Linked DNA regions of Sus scrofa. The protein of the gene in region 4 purifies or fractionates together with the protein of the main gene of each other region. This does not show direct contact. Links are inferred from orthologs where the notes say so. Each region holds a gene or a part of one and is shown on either strand. Other genes may lie near its edges. The genes, in order: RPL35, KRR1, SRPK2 and GNL2.

Region 1 (4,600 bases), on a different chromosome or scaffold from region 4:
ATATGGAGGTTCCCAGGCTAGGGGTCTGAGCAGAGCTGTAGCTGCCAGCCTACACCAGAGCCACAGCAATGTGGGATCTGAGCCGCGTCTGCAACCTACACCACAGCTCACGGCAACGCCGGATCGTTAACCCACTGAGCAAGGGCAGGGATGGAACCTGCAACCTCATGGTTCCTAGTCGGATTCGTTAACCACTGCGCCACGACGGGAACTCCTCAAAGGTTTATTTCTGATCATCTTTTCACTAGAGAGAATCCACCAAGTTCTTTTTTTTTCCCCCTGGGGAACTCCAGGCACACCTCTTTTGATAGACCAAATGCTCTAGTCTTCCAAATGCTCATTTGGGTACTGATGTGAAGCCATTCTTCAAATGTAATCAGAAAAAATCCCACTGAAGACAGCAGCTTCAACCAAATGTTGAGCTCCAGCCTGCCTTTGATATTCTTGTCCTGACAGCAGCCCCCACAATCACACAAGCCAACTCCTTACAGTAAGTCAAACGTATGCATACACATCATGGAAACTCTCCTACTGGTCCCATGTCACTCCTTGAACTCTAATGATACTAGTTTTAAGGACAAGACCAGAAATGGTTGTGGAAATCCTAGGCTGAGCAACACTCAACCCACCCCTCCCTAAGACACTGTTTGGAACCTAGGCCCCATCAATCAACTTATTGTAGTTGACGCTGGGAAATTTAACCTAAGCCTTGAAGTCCCCATTTAAAAAATAATACCAGATGCTGGACAGTGAATGACACTGGGCTAGCAATACAATTAAAACATTTAAACAGTTAATTCTCAAACTCCTTAAACTCATCACACTGGTGAGATTTTATTCAAAACCCCAAGTTTCTGGGAGTTCCCATTGTGGCCCAGCAGACGTGAATCTAGTATCCATGAGCATACGGGCTCAATCCTTGGCCTTACTCAGTGGGTTGGGGATCTGGCGTTGCCATGAGCTGTGGCACAGGCCGGCAGCTGTAGCTCCGATTCCACCTCTAGCCTGGGAACTTCCGTATGCCACAAGTATGGCCCTAAAAAACAAATCGCCCACCACCCCCAAGTTTCTAGCAAGACTCCCACATCTTTGAGTACCTGACAACTGCAGCCCCAAGGAAATGCAGTCTGCTTGCCATATACTAGTCAGAAGGCATACCAAAAAAGCTGAGAAGGCTCTGGAAAGCCCCGTTCTGAGCACCTGTGTAGAGAAGCTTACCAAACTGCTCCGCTGGCCAAAGAAGAGCTGGAATTTTGCTCCTTGTAGCCAAGCACCACCCTCCCTTCCCTACTAACCTTATAGAATTTCCTGAGGTTCTCTTTCTGGGTCTGGTTGATGACGGTGAGAACGCGGGCAATGGATTTGCGAACAACTCGGCTACAAAACAGAGACATCAGTGAAGATGGGGAAGGCACACAGCACTCCCCACCAGCTCCCCCATTTTCATCCATCTCAGGAGGAAGGTGTTCTGGAGGCTAAAGAGACAATACATGGGCATCCCAGGTGTGGGGACAGGGGAATGGCTGACATATCTAGTGCTTTTGCAGAATTGTGAAGTGTTCATTGAGGAGGCTTAATGAGAAGAGGTGGAGGGCAGATCAGGAAAGACATTCCACCCCAGGTCATACATCCTGAAATCTATAAAGAAGACCTAATCAATGTTGATTTGAATGAGCTGACTGGAGGGACTCATGCCACAAGCTGGGCAACCAAGTTCAGTTCAGGGGGTCATAGGAGGAGCCACTTGGGAGGGAAAATGAGACATCTGAGAAACAGAAATGCTAGGGATGGGGTGGATGAGTGGGGAGGCTGAAATGAGGAACAGGCTGGATAAGCGAATTTTTAATCATGTTGAATATGAGGCATGTAGCAGGATGAGGGCCACTCAGTTAACGGTAAACCGCTCTTGAGGATCCACAGAAGTTGCTTGCACACTAACATAAGAAAATTACTGGGGACCCATTTTATAGAAAGGGAAAAAACCCTTAGTGATCAGGCAACCTGTCCAGAAGGTTAGATGTGGCAGAAGCAGAATTTTTATGCCCAAGTTGACTAACTCCAAACCCATGTTCCTTTCACGAGGCTTGGTTTTTGCTCCACATACAGCAGCTACACTACAACTCAAGTAAGAGGTGCAACCAAGTGAGGAGAGATAAGACAAAAATCAAGTGCTGGTAGGAGGTAGGAGAATGGGCTCCAGTTAGATATTCGGAGGCAGCATTAAAACAGGTCTTCAGGGACAGCCAGTTCTTTCCCCAGCCAGACAGGCCCAAGGAGGTGTCAGGCAAAAGGACCACAGGGTCAAATGCAGGTAAAGGCAGCGGGTCTCCAGGCGCCTCGGCCTGAGCAAGGGGAGCCGGGAGAGGATGGCTAGAAAGGGCGTGATGTTCCCACCCACAGATCCATGCAATAGGCACTTAAAACGCTCCCAATGCTTTTGTATCCCCCACACCCAGAGGGCCGTGGTCTGAACATCCGTCACTTACATCTTGGAGAGTTTGGAAGCCGCCCCGCCTGTCACTTTCGCGACGCGCAGTTGGGACAGCTCCACCTTCAGGTCCTCCAGTTGTTTCAGCAGCTCCTCCTTCTTCTTGCCCCGAAGGTCTCGAGCCTTAATCTTGGCCTGCGCGCAAGAAAGAGTAAAGTCTGGTCAAACACCTGCAGGGCCGTCTGCCCCACGGCCGCTTACCGAGGCCTCCACCTCCCGTCCTCCCCTCCTCCCGCGTCGTGATCAGCCCCTCGGGGCGCGCGCCTCGCACTGGGCCAAGGGTGCGCTGGAGGGCCTGCACGACCGCGCCTTGGGCAGGGCAACCCAGGCTCCAGCAGACGCGGTCTCGCCCAGGCCTGCTTCGAGACGGGCTGCCACCCCTATTCCGCAGAAGGAAAGACAGAGGCCCAGGCAACGAGCACCTCTCCGGGCCCAGGCCTCTGGTGGAAGGCGAGAAGCCGGCTGGGGCGATGCTAGGCCATTCCGCACAGCGTCCCACAGGCCAGGCTGGCAGATGAGCTCCCAGGACTCGCCTCGCGGCCCCCACCCCAGCCCCCGAGCCCCACAACGCGCAGATGGCACCCGATACCCCGGCCCTCACCATGGCTGTGCAAGCTGCCGCCGCCGCCTTCTTGGAGGGAAAGAGGAAGAGGCGGGGCTGACCTCGGCAACTACTGCCGGGTAGCGGTGGGCGTGGCCAGTGGCTCCGCGGCCGGGGAGCTCCAGCTCCTCCCTGCTACTTCCAGCCCTACTGGCGCGCCGCGAGTAATGAGTGGTAAAGTTAGTCCAGCTCTGCTCCGGGGAGCCGGAGCCCCGCCCAGCAGTGCTCGCCTCTTCCTTAGATTTGGTCTAATGCCCTGAGCAACGCAGTGGGGTAAGCGAGGCCTGGGGTGAGGGGCAATTTGCCAGAGATGGCAGAGTGAAGACGGATTCATTTATTTCTTCATTCATTCATTCGGTAAATCTTTGCTGATCGCCCAGTCTGCACTACTTCCAGCTAGGAACCAGTGTTCCGGAATATAGGGGATGAAGGTTGGGGTTTTCAAAGATGAATTAACATGGCCCCCCTCCCTTGAGGGAACTTGAACTTCAAGGTGGGCGGGGAGGACCGGGGTCAGACAGGTATAATCCAACTGCATAAATATTCTAGTGGAGGCAGCCAGTGGTAAGGTCAAGAGCAGTCATGGCTTTTTTAGTGAACCTGACCCGGTTTCAAATTCTTACTCTGTTGCTTGGAGCTAGCTGAGACTCTAGGCAAATCAAATCCCTTCCCCTGAGTGTCAGTTTTCTCACCTGTGAAGTGTGGTATTTGTGAGGATCAGGAAAATGACATGTAAAACTCTAGTCCAAGACCTGATGTGTAACAATTGCTCAAAGTATTATCCATATTAATGCTCCCAGTTTAATGAACACTTGAGGGGGCCCTGAAAGCTAAAGGGAAGGGAAAGTGATCAAGCTTTCTAACTGGACAGTTTTATCGTTGCTCCAACCAGCAAATGTGTATCAGTCAGTGCTCTAGTGTCACTCTACTGCCCTTAACAAAGACTCATCCGCATGTCTTAGAGCTCTCATTAAAGCCAGGTTGCCCCCTGTTGCTGTCAGGTGTCACCTCCAGGGAGCCTCTGCTTGTGTCTGAAGCTTTCTGTGCAATCCTCTCTTTAGCTCCAAACACACTGAATTAAAATGAAAGTTATGTGTTTATCTCCACAGCCAGCCTGGAAGTTAGTTCCCCAAGGGCAGAACCATGGCGAACACCTGGTTTATTTTTTCTAGACTCCAGGCCCAGCACATGAATACTTGTTGGATGAATTGAATTAAGAAGCATTGCCTCAGACCACAATGAGGCAAGACTTCCAGGAAGTGGAGGGAACTAGGGAAGAGAGGGCAGAGGACAGTGCTGGTAAGGATTAGTTTTACATGGAAGTTGAATGGTGCACAGGAACTTGGCTGTCCTGTTTTTCTAAATGCTTATAGTTCTGTTAATGATTGTGTACATCTTTTTGGAACTTGAAGCCATCTATGACTACTGTTTGTTATATGCCACATCCAATCCATTTCCAAATTCTACAGCCTTTATCTTCAAAATACCCAAACTTATCCCATTTCTCTTAT
Region 2 (4,100 bases), on a different chromosome or scaffold from region 4:
TTAGGGTATTTAGGTGGAATTTCTGTGTATGTTTGGGAGTGTAGAGAGACAGGAAACTGAAGGTAAGTGTTTTTTTTTTTTTTAATTGACATATATTGTTTACAATGTGCTCATTTCTACTGTACAGCGAAGTTATTCAGATATATCTATATATATATTTATACACTATATTTTTCATTATGATTCATCACAGGATATTGAATATAGTTCCCTGTGCTATACATTAGGACCTTGCTGTTTCTTAAATAGGCTTAATTTGAATGAACTGTTTATGGGTGGGGAATGGAGGCTTCTATTGTGAGTGTAGTCTGGATCAAGGTGGTTGGTGTCAGTTGTGTATCAGTAGCCACTGTAAATGTTCCATGGATAAAAAAGTTCAATGATTTAGTCCACAGTGTTTTCCGCATCATTCATGTGACCATGTGCTGTATGATTGCTCTTGTTTTGAAATCTTAAATTCTATTACCCAATCCTTTTTCTAATATATGAATGTCTCTCATTTTGTTAGCTGTCTTCTGGCACCATTTCCTTTCTAAAATTTCCTTTCCTGTCTTACTCATTACTCTTCTTTCATACTCCCTTTCCTTATATCACACTTGCCCAACAGAACTCTAAGACTTGGATCAGTCCTAGAACTTGACTTTTTTCCTTTAATGTGTCCGCTAAACATAGCTGGAGAGAAGTCCTATCTTTGGACTGTGTCCCTTACAAATTCAGGAGTTCCCATGTGGTGCAGTGGGTTAAGAATACAGTGTTATCGCTGCAGTGGCTTAGATTGCTGCTGTGGTGTGGGTTCAGTTCCTAGCCTGAGAACTTATACATGTAACCACCTCAGCCAAAAAAAACATTTCCAGCCTCAGGTTTTCAGTCTTGTCCAGCAGCTCTCTTCATCCTCTTAATTCTTTAGGCATCCTCCCACTCCTAACATTGCCTTTTATTTTCCTGAAATATTTGAGATCTCCAGGGAAGAACTCTTTCAACTTCCTCTTTTCTCACATTTTTTCCCCCCTCATCTGCATCAGTCCTTTCTTTACCTCTTCTTTGAATTGTCTTCATCTGTCTTCTGAGGGGGATTGTTTCTTTATTCTCTCCCTTGGCAGTATGTTAAAGTCTTCCCTTTCTACTAGTTCTTTGTGCTCAGCATGTAAACCCATCCCTATCTTGTCTTCCCCACAGCCCTGTGTTTGTAGATTTTCAGGGAAGATTTGATGAAAGGTCAAAGATAAAAAAGGAATGGTCATCACAGTAAAAAAACAATGGCAATGTTGGATCATGAGGTCTGCTCTGGAAAAGGAAGAAAGTGAAGCCAAAAGCAAACTTATTTGGGGGAGAGTAGAGTGATCCAGTTTCTAAACCACATGCTTCCATAACACCTGATAGATTTCATATGGTCCTGGCCTGTACTTAGTAGTTACCTTTCTCTTGTATGACCATAAGCTGCTTGAATCAGTGATGTCTCATTTGACTTATTTGCTGTGTAATTATGGACAGTTTATTTAACCTGTCCATGCCTCAGTTTCTCCATATAATGGGGATAATATCTACCGCAAAGAATTGTTAATGAGGATTGAGTTAGTAAATTGTAGAGAACTTGTAAAGAGTTTAGAACAACATTGCCTTAGATATACTAATGCTCTGTATTAAATAGACCAGTTATATGTTAACTGTATATGGAGTGAGTGAGCTATTGCTTTCTCTAATTAGTATTTAATTAGTTGCCACATCCTGGCAGTTACTGCTTTTCATTTTGTATGCCGAAATCTCTATTCCAGGCTTTTATCTCTTCTTTCTTCTTCTGTACCTTTTATAAAATGCTGCTTTGCTCTTTTCACTTCAGGAACCTTCAGTCATTTCTAAATCACATCCCCACCTCCTTTACCTGTCATCCAAGTTTCTTCAAGCTTTCCCAAAACAATCTTTCCAGTTTCCTCTCACACGTTTCTGAATCATTGCCCTTCTACCCTATCTGAAGCAGTCTATTGTGAACTTCATGAACGCATCACCTACTTTCCCTCACACATGCTTTGAGGAATGTAATCCCCCTAAGCTTGAAGTACATTTCCTTCTTTTAGTGTTGCTACCTTACAAAGTAATCAGAGTTTTGACTCTACTGTCTTTTCTTCAAGGTCACTGTGACTTTTTTAGGAATTCTCATCTACATTATTTCTGATATAATTGTATGTATTTATACTGCTTTCAACAGATTGATAAAGAATTGGCTAGTGGTGAATACTTTTTGAAGTCAAGTCAAAAGAAGAGACAGAAAATGGAAGCAATAAAGGTAATTATAATAATAAGCAATAATTGCAAAAGTTCAGAGAAACTTGAATTCTTTAGCCATATAATGTTTTACTAACGTAGTTTTTTTTATTAATGATGTAGGCTAAACAAGCTGAAGCTCTTAGTAAGAGACAAGAGGAAAGAAACAAAGCTTTTATTCCACCTAAAGAGAAACCAGTTGTGAAACCTAAGGAAGGTAATGCTCGTTTTCCAGCTCTTGGTTGATGTAAAAGTCTGTTTATAGGAAAAGTGAACCCATAGTGAATTTGTCTGACTCTCTTTGAGTGGTAAGAAATAACCCTGTCATTAATTCTCAGCATTTCATTAATCACAAACCCTAGGGACAAGAGGTGACTGAGGTCATTTATTGTTTAGTAGCGGCTAGTGCCTATTTAATAGTATCCCAAATTGGCAGTCCCTTCCTGACTTCTGATTATGCTGAGGAAGGACTAAAGATATGAACCAGAGCAGTGAACCTGCTGTAAAAAGTAAAACTATAAGATCCCTGAGCTCTGCTATCATGCCTCTCAAAAAGAGCTTACCTAAAGTAGTGCTTTTGTTTACTTGTGTGACCTCTGGCTTTAAATTTTGATTCTTGTATTGTTAACATGGATTTCTCATCCCCTTAGGTTAAAAGAGCAGGAAGATCTTTCTTATTCAGGGACAACTAAAAGTGACACTCAGATAAAACACTTTTAGTGCCTTTTCTTCTCATTCCCTAGCCTCATTTTGATCTCTCATCTCCTCTTTTGCATTTTCTTTTCCACTAGTAACATTTGTGCTCTTCTGTCAGGTAATTCTCCAAAGTGGTCAGTGGCTCAGAGAGGGTAGGGAGGTCACCAGTAGCATTGCACCAAAGCCAGATGTAAATTACTAAAATAGTAGTGTTATGTCGGTGTTAACAGCTTTAAAAATACTGCATCCTACTCTTTAGATGATTGTTTATATAAAAGTTAAAAACATAAGCATTGTAATTTCTAGTTTGTACAGTCTGTTAGTTATGTAGCTAGTTTAATCTCAGTTTATTACTGATTAGAAGTGTAGCTGTTCTACTGTAGTGGAGGATTAGGCTTTTAAATTTTATCTCAAGTTGCTGGGTCATTTGTATGATGTCATTTTATTTTGTGATTCTTTTATGTCCTGAATACTATTCTTTAAATGCTAAGAGAAAGGTTTTTTTTGTTTTGTTTTGTTTTTTTCCTTCACTGCTTTCTTTCTGTTTTTAAGCTTTTTGGTGGTAGGATGGTTGGGTTCTATTAGGACCTCCAGATGCTCTCAGATTATTACCAAAATCTTACTAAATGAAATGCTACTATTAATTGAACTAATATTTGGAAAACTATTTAAGCTTTTAATATGGTATTAGATGAAGTAGATTTTGACCTATAGTTTCATGATTAGCTAAAAGTACTGAAGCCAGAAGAGTTAAATATATTTAAATTATTTCAGTGGGCAAGAAATGGGAAAGTTTACTTCCCATTTACTTTAATGGGAAAGTTGGCGTATTAAGGAAAAAGTTCCAATATATGGAAAAGAAAATAATCTCAGTTTAAGAGGAAAATGTAATTTTAATATAGTTGCATTGAGTAATTGTTCATATAAATTATGCCATTTTGAAATTTCTAACTTTCAGCAGATGTTTTGTAGTTTTATAACATGACCTTTCAATTACAGCAGTACTCTGATATTAAATCTTGTTACATGTATTTTTAACTTATTTAGCTTCTACTGAAACTAAAATTGATGTGGCCACCATCAAGGAAAAGGTTAAGAAAGCAAAGAGTAAGAAACTGGGAGCTCTTACAGCTGAAGAAGTTAAG
Region 3 (4,100 bases), on a different chromosome or scaffold from region 4:
GCTGTTGACCAACAATGAATGAAGTACACCTGTTTTGGCAGAGATTTCTTTTTTGGCAGACAGTTGAGGAAGTTGGGAGAGGCGATGTTGTTACTTTGTGGACAGGCAGAGCAAGTAAAACTTGCAAGAAGTGCTTCTTGTTCAAAGGCAAGAGTATCTGGGCATATTTAGTTCTTCTTGAGTTTAAAAAGACTTGTTGGGTTTAAGCTGTATCCCTCCAAGGACAGGAGCAGGTAGTGGTCCTGTGACTTGATTTACTGTTTCTTTTTTTCTGGTTTTGTGGTAACCCTAAACATGCCGTGGGTCTCACGTCTGGGCATGTGATTTTAATTGAATACAGCCTGAGAAAAAAACAGACTGTGTTGGTATTTGTCATGCTTCCAACAATTACACTATTGAATAGTGCCTTAAAAAGAAGCAAACTGACCGGTGGTATTTTCTTAACATGTTGTAGATAGGAAAAATATCTAAAAACAAAAAGAAAAAGCTGAAAAAGAAGCAGAAAAGGCAGGCTGAGTTATTGGAAAAGCGCCTGCAGGAAATAGAAGAATTGGAACGAGAAGCTGAAAGGAAAATAATAGAAGAAAACGTCACATCTTCTGTACCTTCCAATGAGCAAGATGATGAATATCACCCAGAGGTGAAACTAAAAACAGCAGAAATAGAGGAGGCAGCAGAGGGAGAGACTTCGAATAACAACGGTCAGTGCAATCTGGAACTCTAATAGCAGGGACCCCCCAGGTCACACATAGGGTGACTTAGTGCCACTGCTGCTGCTTCAGACATGAGGACAACCCTCTTCACCTCCTGATTGGAGGACGTGGGAGAACTGGCTGGTATTTGATTTGTAAAATGTATACAAGGAATATGTTAATATTTCTAAATATTTTTTTAAAAAACAGCAAGGTGGAGTTCCCTCCGTGGCTTAGCAGTTAACAAACTCGACTAGGATCCATGAGGATGCGGATTCGATCCCTGGCCTCTCTCTCAGTGGGTTAAGGATCCGGTGTTGCCGTGAGCTGTGGTGTAGGTTGCAGACTCGGCTCTGATCTGGCATTGCTGTGGCTGTGGTGTAGGCCGGCAGCTGTAGCTCCGATTATACCTGGCCTGGGAACCTCCATATGCCACGGGTGAGGCCTTAAAAAGCAAAACAAACAAACAAACAAATAATAACCCAGCTGGAAACCCTCTGAGGAACATCACTTATGTCTTTATCATGCTAGTGATTGTTCTTCATCTTGTAATTAAGTTTTAACAATAATGCACTCTGAGACCTTTTCTGAAGAAGATAAAAATACAGTTCTGTTTATATACTTATTTTGCCTAAGAGCTGCTGACTTTTTCTCATAAGTGTAGGCCAGGTATTTAATAAATAAAAAATAAGATTTAGAAAACCTAAAGATTTTCCCTGAGAGCCAGGAGGTGTTTGCTCTGTAGGACCTGAAGTTGGCACATTCAGATGTGTCTCTTGCTGGAGGAGATAAGTGCTGAGTGCACTCTGTTTAGGAGAGTGACATGTTCTGATTCTTACCCTTTAACTTTTTAAGGTGAAGCTGAGGACCAGGAAGAGAAAGAGGACACTGAGAAAGAAAACACAGAGAAGGATGAAGATGATGTGGAACAGGAACTCGCAAACATCGACCCTACTTGGATAGAATCACCCAAAACCAATGGTCATATTGAGAATGGCCCATTTTTACTCGAACAACAACTGGATGATGAAGATGAAGAGGAGGAAGATTGCCCGAATCCTGAGGAATATAACCTTGATGAGCCAAACGCAGAGAGTGATTACACATATAGCAGCTCCTACGAACAATTCAATGGTGAATTGCCAAATGGACGACATAAAATTCCTGAGTCACAGTTTCCAGAGTTTTCCACGTCATTGTTCTCTGGGCCTTTAGAACCTGTGGCTTGTGGCTCTGCACTTTCTGAGGGATCTCCACTCACCGAGCAGGAGGAAAGCAGCCCATCCCATGACAGAAGTAGGACGGTTTCAGCCTCCAGCACTGGGGATTTGCCGAAAAGTAAGTGTCCCTTTCCACTGGGTGTCTGCTTTCAGTGGCCCAAGTGTCATACTCTTGACAATTGCTATGAAAGGAGTTGGTTGGAAGTGGTAAATAGCTGCGTCTGTATGCATTAACCATTTTCCTCTTTTTTTTGAAATTAAAAAAAAACTTTAATTAAAAATTTACTAGGGTACAGTTGATTTATAGTGTTGACTCAATTTCTTCTCTCCAGCATAGTGACCATTTTATTACTTTTGTACTCATGAGTAAGTTAATGTAGTTTAAAATAAATTTTGTGCCACTAGGCTTTCTCTTGCTCTCTGTGTATCAGATCCCATTTCTGAGTTTTCTTCCTTCCTGTCTTTAGTGACATCATACATGTGCAGAAACCTTCCAAGTCTAGCATCTTACACCTGTAGCTTTCAAGCATGTGTAGTTTAATACATAATTTGTGCTTCCATCTCATAGTGCTATGTTTGGTTTTTTGTTTTTGTTTCATTTCTATTCAAACAAAAATGTTGTGCCTGCTCTTTATCTGTATTGAGGAAGAAGTGCCCTAGTTTATTCTGTAAGTTGTCCTTAATTATAGGACTATCCCATTGAAATTTTAAAGAAAGTGGCATGGGTTTAAATGTGTTGGTGACCTATATCAAACCTTGATTTTGAGAGTGAATGCTACATGACATATCTCTGACTGTGGTATGCTATAGGACTTCAGTCGGCGAACATGGGTGTCATGGTTAGTTTCCTTTCTGGCCCACTGTGGAAAAGCTCAGAAACCTCCTCTGCTCCCTCTGCTGACAAGAGTGTTTAACACATGAAGAGCCAGTTGATCAGCCAGCTCAGCACATAGCCCAAGATATTCTGCAGGTCCTTTCTTTCCAGCAAGCGAGAGAGCTACAGAGCCATTTCTGGTACTCATTGGTCTTAACTAATCATCTTAAGGATGTGGTTTTATTTCTTTTTTTTTTTTTTTTAACTTGAATTGACGTATTCTGCTCCTGTTCACCTTTACCACAACCAGAGGCTCTTTGAAGGTGCTTCTTAATAAAATGCTTTCATGAAGAATGTAGCTTCATCTAAGGAAAAACTCACTTCTCTGTCTCCTTTGCTCTCATTCTATTTCCAAACTACTGCTGATGCTTCTGGTTACCGTGCTAACAATTCTCTGATACTAGCTTGGTGTCCTGCAGTTTAAGTGAAGTCTGACACTTCTTGGAGATAGCATCAGAGTCCAGGGTTAAGGGCTCATTCCCACAAGACTGTCCCTTCCCATGCATCAGTCACAAGTCCACATTGTCACCTGTGCATCTGAATGATCTATTATAAATCAGAGATTTCCATGACTCTATCCTGGATTGGATTAATTTATTAGAGCGGCTCACAGAACTCAGGAAAACAGTTTACTTGCTAGGTTGTCAGTATGCATAGCGCATGGTGTGTGGGAAGGGGCCAGGCTTCCATGCTCTTTCTAGACGCATCACACATTCCTTCATATCACAGACACATTTTTCTTTTTAATTAACACATTGGGTTGTGTGTTATCATTGTTTACAGCTTTTTTTTTTAATGCTAGAATTATCCCTAATAATTTGTCAACTTCTTCAGGTTGGGTCTTAAGTCCTTTTGACGAAACCTGTTATTCGTTAAGTGCTTCCTTGCCCTTTCAGAACCATGTGCCCCAGGCTAGAGTCAGTTGTGTCTCCAAGTAATTGTTGCTTATTAATATAAAAAAATTTTATAGTGTACATAATAGATAGAAACAGTAGTATGTAAACTTTATAAACATACATATATTAAAATCAGTGTTCCGATGTCGTCTTTATCGATGGAGTAAACAGTGAAAGGGTTTAGTAATACCAAGTGTAGCATGGGCTCTTTCCCATTCCTTCTCAAAAGACGTGATAAAGAACATCTGTGTGAACATGGCACGCTCGCTCATGCTTCCATGCCTTTGCTAGTGCTTTTCCTCCTGTTTGTTTGGGCACACTTCTGTTCTTTTGCTGGGTTCTCTCTGTGTTCTGGCAGGTCCCAGTTCTTGTTTCCTTCTTTTCCTGCTGGTCATACTTTTCTTCACTGTGTGGTCAT
Region 4 (4,100 bases):
GTTCCTGTTTTTCACGTTGTGAGTTTCATAGTAGCGTACACCGACTTTTCTGGGTTGCTGCTGCCGTGCTGCTCGTCTCCGCTGTGAACAATGGCGCGCACACACACACACACACACACACACACACACACACACACACACGAAGGGAAAAAAAAAAAAAAAGTCAAACACTGAAGTCATAAACAGGCTTCTACACTTCTCCATGCTCCATTCCCATGCCACTCCCACAACAACTGGAGCAGGGTCGAGGGAGGGTTCACCTCACAGACCCAAGCCTGCGCTTCTACTGCAACTGTGACAACTCCAAGTTACCATCCTTTGGTCCAACCCTCATCTAATGCTCGAATCTTTTCTCCTGCCCTCCTGACAAGCGGCTCCCTGGTCTGAGGCTGAATGCTCTGATGATAAGCTCTCTACCGCCCAAGAGGGCCCTTGCAGCTCGAGAGAGCCTGGTTAGAGGGATGAACTTCACAGAAGGCAGGGACCTGTCTTTCTACACAGCTCTGTTCACCATGAATCACTTCTCATAAACCCAACTGACTCTTCCAAATGAGAGGCCGCACACTTGAGATCAGCGATCAGAAATTCCTCAAACATACGACCCAAACTCAGGGGTCAACTCTTTGATTTTGTTTCACTGATCTCAACTGGGTCACTTAGGACTGGGTTTTTTTTTTTTTTGTTTTTTGTTTTTTAGCTATTTCTTGGGCTGCTCCCGCGGCATAGGGAGGTTCCCAGGCTAGGGGTTGAATCCGAGCTGTAGCCACCAGCCTACGCCAGAGCCACAGCAACGCGGGATCCGAGCCGCGTCTGCGACCTACACCACAGCTCACAGCAACGCCGGATCGTTAACCCACTGAGCAAGGGCAGGGACCAAACCCGCAACCTCATGGTTCCTAGTTGGATTCGTTAACCACTGCGCCACGACTAGAACTCCCAGGACTGGGGTTCTTTGATTTCAACTCTAGACAGTTTCAGAAAGACTGAGTTAAAAAAATCGCCTTCTCCTCTCTGCTCTATGCCTAAGACAAAAACACGTACTTCCTTAGATGTAAGCATCCTGCGAGTTTTGTCTGAATGCTCTTCTTCCCTCTGTGCCTTCCTCTTCTTTCCCTTTTTGGTAGGTGCTAGGAACAATACATGAACACACACAAGAAAGAAAAAGGAATTTTTTATTCAAAATGTGTCTGTAAACCCTAAGGTGGGAATGAGCTCGATATGCTAGAGAAAAAGGCAGAAGGCAGTGGGACCGGAGTATGGTGAGTACAGCGGAGCAGGAGGCTGGGAGGCTGCCAGCCCCCGAGGACCTCGCAGGCCTCTGCAGGGTTTGCATTTGTGTCACGAAAACACACTCTTGATATGGAAGCTGTCAGTCCAACCAAGTTAAGAAAAAAAATACATGAACCCCAATCTGCTCCCTACCCCAGCTGAAAAAAATGTGTCTCTGGACCTACCCTTAGATTACAAGGTTAATGTACTCTTTTTTATTTTTATTTTTTGGTCTTTCTAGGGCTGCACTTGGGGCTTGTGGAGGTTCCCAGGCCAGGGGTCAAATTGGAGCTACAGCTGTGGGTCTACACCACAGCCACAGCACAATTCGGGGATCTGAGCCGTGTCTGCAACCTACACCACAGCTCATGGCAACGCTAGATCCTTAACCCCCTGAGTGAGGCCAGGAATCGAACCCACATCTTCATGGACACTAGTTGGGTTTGTTAACTGCTGAGCCACAAAGGGAACTCCTAATGTACTCTTTTTAGAGGAATTTTCCTGAACTGCCATTTAATTCCCAAGAAATGTGCAGAATAAAAAGCACAGGTGTGATAAATAGTACGTGGAACCGGGGTGATAGGCCAGATATGCTCAACATCTGTGTGGATGACAGTATAAGAAACAAAGAGGAGATTAAACTTGGGTCCCCAGTTCTAAAGATGCAGATCCCATCCACATGACTTAAATAATTCAACTATACCTGTATCTTCTACATCTTCTTCAACTGCTTTTTGTTGCTCAGGTTTTGCAAAAACCTTCTCACTCAGTCCCTTGGATATTCTGAAAAGGAGAGCAGAGTCACAAAGCTGTCCAGCAATCCCCTCTGCTGCTCATGTCACGTGCCCACATGGAGACGGTGACAAGCTCGCAGATCAAAGAGACTCTGCTCCTCTTCACGGAGTTCACACCACTGGTGGAAGCACCTCCGAAGTTTTTGCAGGCCCTGGGCACTTGTAAAAGAGAGAACTACTGAGCCTCTCACACTGCAGGTTGCTGAATTTTAAAAACGCACAGAATACTTTTTAAACATGGCAAGCGCGCCCCCACCTCCCATACCGCTGCAATCCTCAGGGCAAGGTTCTGGGAACACAAGGAGCAGCCTGCCACTTGTGCCCATGAGAACCCTACCTGACCGCCGAGAACTTCTTTGCTTTGGCTTTGTCTAAAAACCTCTGGTACTTGGCAATCTTCTCATCCAGGGCTTGAATGACGGCCTTGGTGCTGCTCCCCGTGTGTTCTTCCTGGGCTTCTGTGAAAGGCTCTTCGTCAGTGTCTTCTTGGGGCTCCTGTTCCTCCTCCTCCTCCCTCTCCCCAGAGAGGCTCTCCAGCTCTTCCTCGATATCGGACATCTCCAGGGGAACCAGGTCGTCCCCCGAAAACTGAGGCACGACATTGATCTTGCCGAAGTTCTGCCGGACCCGCGCAAGGATCTGTTGCATTTCTGCGTCAGCGCCGCACTGGCCAGGCTCCTCTTCCTTCTTCTCAAGGCCGGGTTCTGACCCTCCACCTCCAGATTCTGGGGTTTCCTCTTCTGTGTTGTTCTGGGCTGTTTCTGGGGCAACTTCCAAAGTCGAGGCGGACGGAAGCTACTTAGGCCAAAAAGGGGTGGGAGCACGGGGAGAAACGGAGTCAGAAAACAAAACCCGAATGTCTGAACTTACACACTTTGCTCTTAAATGAGGTAGTTCTCCTCTCAGGCCCAAGGGAAAGGATGGAAAACGCCGGCATCTGAGTCATCCTGTTAGATCTATTCTGAGCCAACATACATTAAACCCTGAGCCCAGCACTGAAGGGTCAGAGGAACACAGCTGGGGTCCCAAAGAATGCACCAACCCCAAGAGTATTTCACCATCAACACCAACCAACGACACCCTGCAGGAGGCGAGATTCCCTATGTCCCCGAGGATCGCGAGGAATGGGGTTGCCAAGGAAAGCACAGCCAGGCTGAGTACACCCCACAGGCTGAGGGTAGGCACTGAGGCGGCACTGGGAAGGGAGGGTGTGAAGGAGGGGCCGTCCCGGGAGGACTGAGAATGAGCCCTGAGGTGGGAACGGGTAAGAAAGAGGCTGAGAGCTGGGGCCTCCCCTTCAGGGAAGGGTGAGCAGGCCTGGCACTGCGGCTTCACATAGGCAATATTCTCATAATATTAATATTACGAGAATATTATGAATATTCTTATAATATTAATATTACGAGAATATTATGAATATTCTTCCCCATTGTATTCTCGTAACTGAGACTCACAGAACTCAAGGAATTTTTCCCCAAGGTGGGGTGGCTGCTCAAAGCACTGAATGCATAAGGAAGCCATGAAACTCAGGAGATTGCACACACAGTTCGTGTGCGCCTTGTCATCCATTTCGCGGGCAGAAGCTGGTAGTGATAGCTTTCGGATGCTCGAGGGGGTTTCTGCCACCACCAAGAGCAAAAGGCAAGAGTCACAGAGTGGGGGAGCTAGTCACCTAACCCCAATGACTAGACACACAGCAAGAGTTAGAGAAAACTCTGCCGCTTCCACACAGCGTCACAAGGGAGCAGAGATGGGCCTCCTCAGACCCAGAGGCTTCCGCCGTCACTCGGTGCTCCCGAGCCCGCCAGGGGGCGGCCCCATGACTTCTTCTAGAACCAGACAGGTCAGACTGGCTCCACCTCAGGTGCACTGGGTCCACTGCTCCTGATGCCTGGAACACTCTCCCCTCCGCATCTATGTGGCTCCTGCCTCAGATCACTAAGGTCTCCGCTGCAAGGTCACTTCCTTCTCAGAGGCCGTCCTGACCACCCCGCTTACAAAAGCCCTCCTTTGCCCCCCATAAATCCTTCGCCCTGT

What was found.
Region 1: the proteins of GNL2 (region 4) and RPL35 purify together in Homo sapiens (affinity purification with mass spectrometry; 3 studies listed by BioGRID and IntAct, with this or other methods). This does not show direct contact. The link is inferred for Sus scrofa from reciprocal best matches to the Homo sapiens genes GNL2 and RPL35.
Region 2: the proteins of GNL2 (region 4) and KRR1 purify together in Homo sapiens (affinity purification with mass spectrometry; 3 studies listed by BioGRID and IntAct, with this or other methods). This does not show direct contact. The link is inferred for Sus scrofa from reciprocal best matches to the Homo sapiens genes GNL2 and KRR1.
Region 3: the proteins of GNL2 (region 4) and SRPK2 purify together in Homo sapiens (affinity purification with mass spectrometry; 3 studies listed by BioGRID and IntAct, with this or other methods). This does not show direct contact. The link is inferred for Sus scrofa from reciprocal best matches to the Homo sapiens genes GNL2 and SRPK2.

Annotation. Positions count from the first base shown.
Region 1 is NC_010443.5:265,639,163-265,643,762, forward strand, and holds the start of RPL35 (60S ribosomal protein L35), read right to left. Parts: upstream 3,117-4,600; 5' UTR 3,093-3,116; coding exon 3,090-3,092; intron 2,624-3,089; coding exon 2,487-2,623; intron 1,378-2,486; coding exon 1,296-1,377; intron 1-1,295.
Region 2 is NC_010447.5:38,811,586-38,815,685, reverse strand, and holds part of KRR1 (KRR1 small subunit processome component homolog), read left to right. Parts: intron 1-2,203; coding exon 2,204-2,281; intron 2,282-2,382; coding exon 2,383-2,476; intron 2,477-3,828; exon of another isoform or gene 3,829-4,002; coding exon 4,003-4,100. UniProt on the Homo sapiens protein: Part of the small subunit (SSU) processome, first precursor of the small eukaryotic ribosomal subunit.
Region 3 is NC_010451.4:105,033,871-105,037,970, reverse strand, and holds part of SRPK2 (SRSF protein kinase 2), read left to right. Parts: intron 1-454; coding exon 455-701; intron 702-1,547; coding exon 1,548-2,030; intron 2,031-4,100. UniProt on the Homo sapiens protein: Serine/arginine-rich protein-specific kinase which specifically phosphorylates its substrates at serine residues located in regions rich in arginine/serine dipeptides, known as RS domains and is involved in the phosphorylation of SR splicing factors and the regulation of splicing.
Region 4 is NC_010448.4:93,621,556-93,625,655, forward strand, and holds part of GNL2 (nucleolar GTP-binding protein 2), read right to left. Parts: intron 2,859-4,100; coding exon 2,401-2,858; intron 2,053-2,400; coding exon 1,973-2,052; intron 1,128-1,972; coding exon 1,042-1,127; intron 82-1,041; coding exon 1-81. UniProt on the Homo sapiens protein: GTPase that associates with pre-60S ribosomal subunits in the nucleolus and is required for their nuclear export and maturation.